Astyanax mexicanus: one gene and its partners. The protein of the gene in region 2 binds, or shares a complex with, the protein of the main gene of each other region. Links are inferred from orthologs where the notes say so. Each region holds a gene or a part of one and is shown on either strand. Other genes may lie near its edges. The genes, in order: sin3b, histone deacetylase 2 and mta1.

Region 1 (3,754 bases), on a different chromosome or scaffold from region 2:
CAGTCGCAAAGACAATCAAAAACGTTATGATGAAACTGACTCTCATCAGGACCACACCAGGAAGGGCAGAGCAAAAGTTACCTCTGTTGCACAGCACAGGATAATTTCATCAATGTTACTAGCCTCAGAATGCAGCCTAAATGCTTCACAGAATATGTTGGTTGTGCCATATAGTATTGTAAGCATTAATAGTGCCAACATTTTTGAATATCATGAATGATATTATACCCTGAAATATCGTGCAATATCACCCACCCCTAATAATCACTTTTTTACTGCTGTTTTTAGCAAAAGACAAATTCACACTGTTCTCATTTGCCATTATATTTCTACTAGAGACAGATTATATCTGTCCAGTATCATTTATTGTACTTTAATGCTGCATATATGGATATATTTGGAGTGCATTATTAGTATCATGACATTCTGGATTATTATTGACTTCTGTTACAAATCTGATAAATTTCTGTAATTTTTAATATCTCAGTTAGGGATGTGCCATATCATACTGTATGCAATAACAAAATTTAATTTTTATTTTGTTGCAGTAATGTATTCTTGAAATATTCTTTTTTTATTTAGTGTTTTGTCATATCGCCAAGAGTATGAAATATTGTGATCGTAGTATTTTTGGGCCATATCGCCCACCCCTAACGTGACTACAAGATTCCTCCTAGTTAAAAGAATAAAAAATGTAAAGTAACTTTTTGAAAAGTTTTAAGGTCAAATATTCAGATAATAATCCTAAAATTAAAGTGATTAAGCTGGAAAATATGATTTCTGTGTAGTATGAGGTTTTCTAATAGTAAAAAAAGACGTTTTTGAAGGGCAAAATGCACAGTATTCTGATAATAACACTACTTGAATACACCATGTATGGCAACAGTTAACTTTTTACATTTTGACCACCCATTTCCCTTTCCACTTTCACACAAAGACAATGTATATGCTTATATTAGTCACTAATAAACCGTCATACATCACTGTTATATCAGCCATAAACACTTTATTGATTAGTCTGTGGTGTTTTGTAGTGTGTATTGATCACTAATATTTATTGACACTTCTGAGAGGATAGCATTAGCATTTGAAACGACACCTTCACTCATCCGGGTACCGCCCGCCCCGCACGTCTGTAAGCCCCGCCCCACCGTGTAGGCGCATGCTCGGTGCGTTCTTCCACATTCGCTCCGCTGCCGCCGAATTTAAAGAGACAGGAGACAGTTTTTAAAAATAACATTTACAAACTGAAAATCCGGGAGTAGTCTTTCTCTTCTATGCTTTTTTAGTTCTTCAGCTCTCCCCCGCTTTCTCTGGACCTTTTCTGGTTAGTAAAGCCGTGCTTTAAACGCTGTAGTGGTTCCTCTCTTCAGTTTGAGCACAGCGGTCCGCTCTGCCGCTGCTGGCCGGGGTTGGAGGCACTCTGCGCGGTCTGAGCGGCGTGGGCGCTCCGCTGTCTGGAGCGCTTCCCTTCCCTGCTTGTTTTTTTCCCCTGCCCTGCTTGTTTTGTGGGCAGATACGGAGGGAGAACGTGTGTCTTCGTGTGTGTAGCTGTTGGGGACGATGGCGAAAATCCAGGCTCACAGCAGCACCAAGCAGATCAACCCAATAAACCAGGACAAGGCCTTTTTGAGCGCCCAGAAACAGCAGCAGCAGCAACAACAGCAGCAGCACTTCCAGAAACTAAAGGTAAGGAAAAACGGGGGTAAATGAAAGTAAGTGTAAGTCGATATAAAGTGGCGCGACCAGTTTTGAGTAGTGCTGTGTTATTTCTTTCTCTGAAGTTCTTGCCCATTCTTCAGTTTCTTGTGCGATTTTTCCCGTTCCACCTTAAGTGTAGTAGCAGTTACATTCTGGCGTCCGGGGGGCGCCAGAATAAAACTGCGGCAACATTTAAGGTGGAACGTACAAACTCGCAACTTCAGCTTCTTTTAGATTTTTTTCTTTCTTTTTTTATTCGTATTTGCTTAAGGCGTATATAATATACACATATAATCTATTGACCAGTTTTGAACATAGCTATTAAAAAATGTAGCTATATTTCGTACCATATAAAACGACCCCCTCGTTATAGTATATGTTTTTAGCTGGGTAATCTAAGTGCTGTAACGTTAGCATAGCATAGCTATCGCTAACGAACCTAGCTAGCAAAGCTAACCTAGGTTAGCAACCTCTTATTAGCTTGCCTCTCTTTGTCTTACTTTCCCAAAGCTAATGCTGTTTGCTTTGGCAGCTTCCAAAACAAAAAACAGCACTTATAAACCCAAAAGACTTTCCGAAAAACCTTTACTTTAACTTAAATACAGTTTAATCTCATTTAAAAAGAGCTTCCAGATCCTTCTCAGTTGAGTTAGCCGGTTAGCCACTTGCTGAGTTGCAGTGCTTTTGTGGGGATGCGCCTTGCTAAAAGCACAATAAAACCAAATTCTGTTGAATTTAATGCAAAATTCACTGTAACGATTTGTTTTAATTGACACTTGAGTTATAAAGTTGCTGGAGACCCTGAGAACTGAAGAAGCTGAAAGGGTTTATCTCGTATGAAGGTTCTTCAGTGCCAGAACTGGTGGTATTGTTTTCCTGATATATCCATCAGATTTCTCAGGGTGTTTGATTTGTGAGCTGATTTATTCTTGTTTAACGTTAGTTTAGACTAACCGAGATATGTTAAAATTAGGACTATTTTGTGCCACAGTTTATATATGGTGCTAATATAAAAAAGCTGCTGCAAGGAAATTAACAAGAAACTTGAACCTAGCTTGAAGCACCTTGTACAAACACAATACACCATATTTTGGTGCATTTAACTTTTCAACTCAACATGAGAACTGAAAAAGCTGTCTTGTATAAGAAAGGTTCTTTGGTGCTAGAACCGGTGGTATTGTTTTCCATCATAATTTTCAGGGTGTTGAGCTGTGAGCTGAATTATTATTCTCTAATGTCAATTTACCCTTATTTTGGTTAGGTTAGGCATAAATGCTGTAGCTGCTGCAAACAAGTAAACAAACGTATACATACATACATACATACACACATACAAACAAAGCAAGCACCTTATGGTTTTGATCTTTTTTATATGTCTATAGAGCTCTGGAAAAAATAGGAGACCACTTTAGTTTCTGAATATGTTTCTCTGATTTTGCTACTTATAGGTATATGTTTGAGTAAAATGACCATTGTTGTTTTATTCTACAAACTATTGACAACATTTCTCCCACAAATATTATTATTTAGAGCATTTACTTGCAGATAATGAGAAATGGCTGAAAAAAAAGGTGCAGAGCCTTTTAGACCTCAAATTGTGCAAAGAAAACAAGTTCATATTCTGAAAGTTTTATGAGTTCAGAAATCAATATTTGGTGGAATAACCCTGGTTTTTAATCACAATTTTCATGCATCTTGGCACGTTCTCCATCAGTCTTACACACTGATTTTGGATAATCTTTTGCCACTCCTGGTACAAAAATTCAAGTAATTCAACTTGATTTGATTGCTTGTGATCTTCCTCTTGATTTTATTCCAGAGGTTTTCAATTTGGTAAAATCAAAGAAACTCGTTATTTATATGTTGTCTCTTATTTTCTTCTCAGAGCTGTATATCAGCTGTCTGGCAGATGGGTTTTACCACATGAAATATCAATATGATTAAAGATTTACTGTTTCTCTGTCCATATCTTTTTACTTTTCTGTGTAGAGCTGATTAATATGACAATTTATCTTATTGAATCATAATACATTTTTTATTGTATTAAAACATG
Region 2 (3,754 bases):
TTCTACCGTCCATTCAACCAGAAATTTTACCAGATGACTGGGAGGAAATTTGACTGGCCGTGAGGAGGTCGAATGGCAGATCTTTTTAACCAGGGGGTGCTAAACTGCTGTCCTGCTTACAACTATAAGCAATTAAGATGAAACATAACTTTGTAACTTTGAAATATGTAGAGCTATTTTTTTACTAAATGCATTAATGTTTGCCTGTAAATAAGATTTTCGTCTTGCATATAAACAAACACAGTATATACAAAAGTAACACAGGTTAGTCTGCATTCTACACATGTTGAACCCCCCTGACTGTTAATAAGCTGAGCTGTGAGATCTAAAATGGGGATTTGATCAAATGTAAAGTTAATGTTGGTGATTGTTTAATGATGAAGTGTACTATACATGATGCCCTTCTTGTGTTCCTTAATAATTAATTCTGACTGAATTAATCACTATAATGCACCACTCTCATAATACAGTACAATTCAATCAGTCTCTGTTTTAATAGCTTGACGAGGTGGACAGCACATTGTATATAATGAAAAATAAATAATAAATATAAATAATAAATATAACATAAATGTAATAATCTGTCTATCCAACTATGTGTATAACTGTATGTACATCTATCTATATCTATCTATCTATCTAACTGTATGTACATCTATCTATCTATCTATCTATCTATCTATCTATCTATGCATAAATATTGTGTCTCTAATAATTAGTGTTATCTGGCTAATATATCAGATTCAACTGCGCCTTATCAGCAGTTTGGCTGGGTTGGATCAAGACTAGATCACTTTCTCACCATGATGCAAACCGCTCCAGAGCTTTTTTTGGGACTGAACTGAGACCAGATCCTCATAGTAGGTTTTATCTGCTTATTTGGATCCGTACAGGTGCGACTGCTGTTTTCACACCTGCTCAATCAAACCGCACTAAGAGTACAAACGAACCAGAGTCTGTTTTAACCTAACCAAATAGTGCTGGAGTGAAAACGCCCTCAATGACAAAGTATAATTTTTTTTGTGTCATTTGTTTAACTGGGTTCTCTTATCTACCTTTTATGACGATGTTTCAGGTCGCATTTATGCAGAAATATAGACAATTTCAAATTGTTCACTATTGTAACTTTCAAGCACCACTGTGTCTTCAAATATAGGCCAAACTAGCTAACAGCTAACTGTAGCCTATCAGAGTAACCCTGTAGCCTATCAGAGAGCGCTGGTGCTAAGCAGGCCCCGCCCTCGATTAGAATAGGCCCCGCCTCCTCCTTCTCCTCCGTCTCCGTGCTCCTCATCAGCTCTGTAGTTACCTGTCTCTCTCCACCGCTCCTGCTACATTTTAATCTGTATTTAATCTAATCAGCGCGCTCTGGTCGCGGGGATCGTGTGTGTGGAGCATGGCGTTCACTCTGCAGGGCACCAAGAAGAAAGTCTGCTATTATTATGACGGTAAGAGGGAACGGAGCGCTGCTCAGGCCTGCCCGCCAGAGAGAGAGTGATAGAGCGAGCGAGAGAGAGAGTGAGGGGGATAGAGAGAGGGATAGAGGGCCTGGGGGAAAGGAGTAACGTTAAATGGGTACAGGGACAGAAAGAATAAACAGAGACAGTAAATATAACCGGGTGTGAGAAATCCTGATTAAACCTCAGCTATTCTGAATGTGGGTTCTATTAGCACTAGTGCTAATGCTAACTGGCGCTGCGCTTTTGTGTCTCGTTGTGGGACTGCAGCTCTCTCTCTCTTTCCCTCCCTCCCACACACTCTATGTACCTGTTACACATACACATCACACACACACACTGTATTATTATTTATTTGCGAGGTTGCAGTTGGTATCGTATTGAACAGCCTTTTACTAATTTTCAGTTCCACCTTAAATTACGGTCAGTTAGCTAACTAACTAATGTTGTGGGCGACCGAGGCGACAGAGTGTTAAGTGGTGCACTATTTAAGGTGGACTGGAAAGATCCGAAGCCAACATGCGTGTAGTAACTACTAACGCTAGCTAACGAGGCTGAAGTTGGTTTGATATTCGCAGCTCCAGATTCGTTTGGCTCGATATTCGCAGCCTCGTATTCCCCGGCTGAAGTTGGTTTGATATTCGCAGCTGCCGCTTCACTGAACCACCGTGAACTAAAGGGAGCGTTCACAAACACCCGCTGTTTATATTAAACACCTCACAGATCAACACTGAAGGAGATAGAATGAAGAAAAGCAGTACATCTGTTTATTAACAATGTAAATATACAATATCGTATTAAATGTAATTTTGTATATTGTAAAATATTTATTTTAATTACTGAATTTATAATTATATATTACAATAAATAATTAAATATATATTTAATAAAATTATATTTTAAAAGCCATTGCGCTCAAAAAATATGAGGCAGATGTTCAAGTGTGATTTTGAAGAACTTTTTCATGTTGGGCCAGAACAAATACACATGATCTGAAGAGTACTAGTCTTCTTCTTTAAGGAAAACCTGGAATTAGCCTGGCCCGAGCTGATTTTATACTTTAAAATTAACTGGCAACGTGGCCTACCGATCCATAATGCACAAAAAAATTGAATATAAAGCTGATGTTCTAGTGTGATTTTGAAGGACTTTTTAATCTTGGGCCAGAACAAATACACATGATCTGAAGAGTACTAGTCTTCTTCTTTAAGGAAAACCTGGAATTAGCCTGGCCCGAGCTGATTTTAGACTGCACAATTAATTGGCAACATGGCAGCACAAAAAAAATATTATTTAAAGCTGATATTCCAGTATGATTTTGGACTTTTTTTTCAGACCAAATACACATCAGATGAAGTGTTCTGGTATTCTCAAAATCAATGCTTTATATTCATTATTTCTGTGCAAAATGGCTTTCATGTCATGTTGCCAATTCATTTTAAAGTATAAAATCAGCTCGGGCCAGGCTAATTCCAAGTTTTCCTTAAAGTAGAAGACTAGTTCTCTTCAGATCATGTGTATTTGTTCTGGCTCAAGATTAAAAAATTCTTCAAAATTGTACTGGAACAGTGGCTTTTTTGTGCAAAATGGCTCGTTATACCATGTTGCCAGTTCATTTTAAAGTATAAAATCAGCTCGGGACAGGCTAATTCCAGGTTTTTCTTAAAGTAGAAGACTAGTACTCTTCAGATCATGTGCATTTGTTCTGGCCCAAGATGAAAAAGTCCTTCAAAATCACACTAGAACATCAGCTTTACATAAAAACAATTGTGCATTATGGATCCGTATTCCATGTTGCCAGTTCATTTTAAAGTATAAAATCAGCTTGGGCCAGGCTAATTCCAGGTTTTCCTTAAGGTAGAAAACTAGTACTCTTCAGATCATGTTTATTTGGTCTGGCCCAAGATTAAAAAGTCCTTCAAAATCACACTAGAACATCAGCTTTATATTCAATTTTTTTGTGCATTATGGATCGGTAGGCCATGTTGCCAGTTAATTTTAAAGTATAAAATCAGCTCGGGCCAGGCTAATTCCAGGTTTTCCTTAAGGTAGAAGACTAGTTCTCTTCAGATCATGTGTATTTGTTCTGGCCCAAGATTAAAAAGTCCTTCAAAATCACACTAGAACATCAGCTTTATATTCAATTTTTTTGTGCATTATGGCTCGTTATACCATGTTGCCAGTTCATTTTAAAGTATAAAATCAGCTTGGGCCAGGCCAATTCCAGGTTTTCCTCAAAGTAGAAGACTAGTACTCTTCAGATCATGTGTATTTGTTCTGGCCCAAGATTAAAAAGT
Region 3 (3,754 bases), on a different chromosome or scaffold from region 2:
CCAGTCGCGGGTGAAAATTCAGTGGTGGCGGCTGCCAAAAACGTCAACACGGTGGGCAAACATGTAGAGGTTGACACTAAAATCAATCTTCCTTGATTAACAACAACCATAAGAATGAGGAGAACATAACGACATAAGGGAGGACAGCAGGAGAGAGAGAGTAACCAGAATGTAACCAGACGTAAAAACCACAGAGTAACCAGAAATCACAAGGCGATGAAAAAAAAAATGTTAAAGAAGAGAAAAGAAAGTTCAGGAGGGGCAAGAACAGAAATTAGTAAGTAAGTAAATTATTATTTTTGCTAACTATGTTACTATCAAATGTTATGGACTTTGATATAAACTGTTATAAGATAACTAATAAAACATTAATGTTTCAAAATTATTAATGACTTTAAGATAAATAGCAATCCTGATAATAAACACCTTGTAAAAAAAATCAAACAAAGTCGTACACTCATAGTTGTTCTGACATTTGCTTCAAACGTGTGACAGACAGATATTTTGGGCTAGTTCAAGCTTCTGATTTTGGGCTGGATATTTTTGTTGGACCTGGCAACATTAGTGGCACTGTAACCGTTGGAACTGGAACTGTTCTGTAGAATACAGTCAGCTAGCGTTAACTAGGTTAGGTTTTCGTTTTTGTGTTGAAGAGAGAGAGGGATGGAGGGCTGTTAGGGAGATGGTGGGGTGTTGTAGGGCTCGGGAGGGAGAGCTGAGGGGGGGTTCCAATCTGAAAGCAACAGTTGTTTACTTTGTTATTTTGCCTCTAGTGGGTCTGAAGTTGTACAACAGCGATTGTTTCGGTATTTCCGAGGGAGGCGGAGACTGAGCTGGACGGTGATGCTCGCGGTCTCCACCTCCTCCGCCTCTCCTCCTCTCTCCTCCCTCGAGTCTCTCCTGACCGCCAGCCCGCTTTCTCCCTCCCTCCGGCCGCCCCGCTTTGTTTTCGCGCTCTTACCGAGTCCCTCAGCTGCTCTGTCCCGGCGCGAGTCTCCGAGTAGCGCGGTGAAGCAGAGTAGTGAAAATGGGCGCACTGTCTCTTTAAGATCCCCTGACTGCTCCGCTTCGTATTGATCAATCCACCATTTTCCAACACACTCAGCGGCGGAGGCAGTGCTCGCGACGGCGTGAGGAAGCCCTACCTGGAGCCACCAGGACGCGGGGCAGTCATGGCAGCCAACATGTACCGGGTCGGAGGTAGAGAGCACGTTTTCTGCCTGTCTGTGTCTCTGTGTTGGTGTATGTTTATCCCTCCCCTGAGCGGCGGCCTCGGGTATATACAGCGTTATAGAGCTAGTTACAGTTCAGAGCCCAGAGCTGGAGCAGCTCTCCGTGTCCTTCCTCTTTATTTCCTAAAGCTGGAGTAGAGAGAGCCTCATGCTCTGTGACCAAAGGAGGATGAAGATGATGATGAGGAGCGGGATAAAGATGAAGAGTCTAACTAACGCTAGCTGCTTTCAAACCCCCTCCAAAATGTGTCGTTTAGCTAACTTACTTTCTTAAAACTGGAGTATTCTAGCTTAGCTAACCTAAACATAGGTTAGTAACTTAGTATTTACAGTGAGTTTAGCTAGGTTTACTAGTTAATTAACGCCAACTAACTAACCTAGCTAGCAGCTCTGCAGTCCTATACCCCACCAGCAAACAGCCAAAGCTCATAATTCCCCCAGAACTGAAGCTTTTTACTTAAGTTTTCAAGTTTTTAAAGAAACCTCACATATCATGTAGCATGTTTAAAAAAAGCTGACTAGCTTAGCTCATAGCTTAGTTGCCAAGTAACGGGTGAGTTAACCAGCTAACTATCCAGACATACGTAACTTAGCTATGGGTTAGCTAGCTTAGCCTAATTACTTAACGTTAATACTAACGTTAATTACTTCTCAGCCACAAGAAGTAACGTTAGGGAACGTTTGGTTGAGCATGGAAGTAAAAAAAAAACTATCAGACAGTAGAAAAGCTACGAACTGGAGTACTTTACCGCTGTTAACCTGTTCCTGAACGAGGAGGTAAACAGAGAGAAGTGAGCCGTGGTGGAAACGTGAGTCCGTCCTTAATTAGTTAACTAACGCTGGTCAGGTTAAGTTAACCTAGCCTTCTTGTGTGAAGTAGTACGTTAGTTAAGTTACATATAATTATAAAATAAAAGTATTGAATAGTTCAATTTTTTCAATTGCTTTGAAGCAGGGGTGGGCGATAACAGTTAACGTTATATAACTAAAATAATATCACAATATTTCGGTGTATTTTTGCGATAAAGATATTCTTGGCGATATGACAAAACATTGATTTTTATTAAATAATAATTTTAGCAACATAGTTACTACTACAACAAAATAGATATTAAAGTTTTATTTAGTCTAAGCAAAAAATATATAAACAATTGTCTGATTCGTAAAACAGAGCCTGGTTTTGTAAAAGAAAAAAAAAAGGTGTAATAAAAGTAAAGTAATGGAACTAACACAAATATACCACAAAACTAAAGTGCAGCATATGTAGTGCATATAAACTGTAACCATTAAAATACTCGCTGTTTTAAATCCCGTTCATGCAGCTTGCCATCAGCTACAGGAGCCCTGAGAGAGCAGGGCTCTCCTTGCTCGCTCTGTGGGTAGATGGAGCTCTTTCCCCACATCACTCCAAAGGGTGATGTTGATCAGCACAATTGTCACAGATATTATTGTGAAAAATTATATATTGTCTTTATAGAAAACAACCATTGATATATTCAGCATATAATGGTACAATCATAAAATAACACCCTTTTAGAGAACCATACACTTTTAAAATGAATAATAGTCTAGGAGAGAAGTGTGTTTTCCAGCAATTCGCAAGTTTAAAAGTTTGCCCTATATGTTTTAGTCCTGTTTTTATTGAGTAAATACAGTGGTTGGTATCAAGAACAGCAGAACTTAATAAAGTCAAGAACATATAATTATGGTGACAGATGTAATGAATACCATAAGTAAATTCAGTGAAGACTTTTTAAAGCCTAGAATGATGTTGTGAGCAGAAGAAATTAAGTCAATTTCGAATCCCTCTGTAATATTTTGTAGCCATTTATTATACTAAATTACGTGTCAAAAACAAGTTGGTAGTTTTCTGAGAATGTAAACTTCCCAATTTAGCTTTTTTAAAGTTAAATTGGGATACAGTTTAGCAGTTGAGTAGTGGAACATGTCATCAGTTAAGACTGTCTTTTTCCACCTCAGTCTTGGGGGAGACCCCCTACCCTGCCAAATATGGCACGAGTCTTCCTCTTACAGTTCATTGTGGTCCGGTTTCTGTCTCTTGAAGTTTTTGATAGTGAGCTAGCTTTGTATGTGTTTTTTGTCATATGTAGTGAATTGGAGATGATGCTCAATTATACGTTATATAAAAACATTTTCACAGTACACAGTATTTATCATCTTTTGACATAAAAAAAAAATCAGTATCAGATTCTGCTGTTCAAATACTCTTTCATGAATGACGATGAATTTTATTGTATTTTTGCGGCGCATCATCTAATCTAACTGAATTTTCTTAAAGTATGTTGTCCATGCAATAAGAAAATTTATGACAATATGATAAAATTAATATAAATATTTATGTATAAAATGGGGACTAATTAAACAGTGTTTGGCTGTACAGAATTTTAGAAGGATATCTTTCTTTAAAAAGTAAATAAAGACTTATTCTTGGTTAAAATGTTTGCAGACTTGCTAGTCCAAATGAATTTTTTTCAAATAACTAAGTGAATCAGTTTGCTGCA

The links.
Region 1: the proteins of histone deacetylase 2 (region 2) and sin3b are in contact, whole or in part, in a cryo-EM structure (PDB 8BPB), measured with the Homo sapiens proteins. The link is inferred for Astyanax mexicanus from reciprocal best matches to the Homo sapiens genes HDAC2 and SIN3B. Residues at the interface, in NP_001518.3 of Homo sapiens: Lys9, Asp19, Gly21, Asn22, Tyr23, Tyr24, Gln27, Gly28, Pro30, Lys32, His34, Arg37, Tyr46, Gly47, Arg50, Lys51, Lys59, Thr66, Lys67, Tyr68, His69, Ser70, Asp71, Asp100, Asp105, Gly106, Glu109, His142, Lys144, Lys145; in NP_056075.1 of Homo sapiens: Ile397, Gly398, Ser399, Ser400, Tyr401, Pro411, Lys412, Cys413, Ser414, Gly415, Arg416, Thr417, Ile419, Cys420, Glu422, Val455, Leu456, Asn457, Trp460, Val461, Ser462, Phe463, Pro464, Ser465, Trp466, Ser467, Glu468, Asp469, Phe472, Lys476.
Region 3: histone deacetylase 2 (region 2) and mta1 share a complex: the UniProt entries of both Homo sapiens proteins name them as parts of the nucleosome remodeling and deacetylase (NuRD) repressor complex. The link is inferred for Astyanax mexicanus from reciprocal best matches to the Homo sapiens genes HDAC2 and MTA1.

The regions. Positions count from the first base shown.
Region 1 is NC_064419.1:9,138,807-9,142,560, reverse strand, and holds the start of sin3b (paired amphipathic helix protein Sin3b), read left to right. Parts: upstream 1-1,139; 5' UTR 1,140-1,563; coding exon 1,564-1,689; intron 1,690-3,754.
Region 2 is NC_064408.1:38,907,180-38,910,933, forward strand, and holds the start of histone deacetylase 2, read left to right. Parts: upstream 1-1,253; 5' UTR 1,254-1,396; coding exon 1,397-1,448; intron 1,449-3,754. Other genes in the region: heparan sulfate glucosamine 3-O-sulfotransferase 5, read left to right, coding at 1-63. UniProt on the Homo sapiens protein: Histone deacetylase that catalyzes the deacetylation of lysine residues on the N-terminal part of the core histones (H2A, H2B, H3 and H4).
Region 3 is NC_064421.1:24,341,263-24,345,016, reverse strand, and holds the start of mta1 (metastasis-associated protein MTA1), read left to right. Parts: upstream 1-814; 5' UTR 815-1,172; coding exon 1,173-1,200; intron 1,201-1,839; exon of another isoform or gene 1,840-2,041; intron 2,042-3,754. UniProt on the Homo sapiens protein: Transcriptional coregulator which can act as both a transcriptional corepressor and coactivator. Acts as a component of the histone deacetylase NuRD complex which participates in the remodeling of chromatin.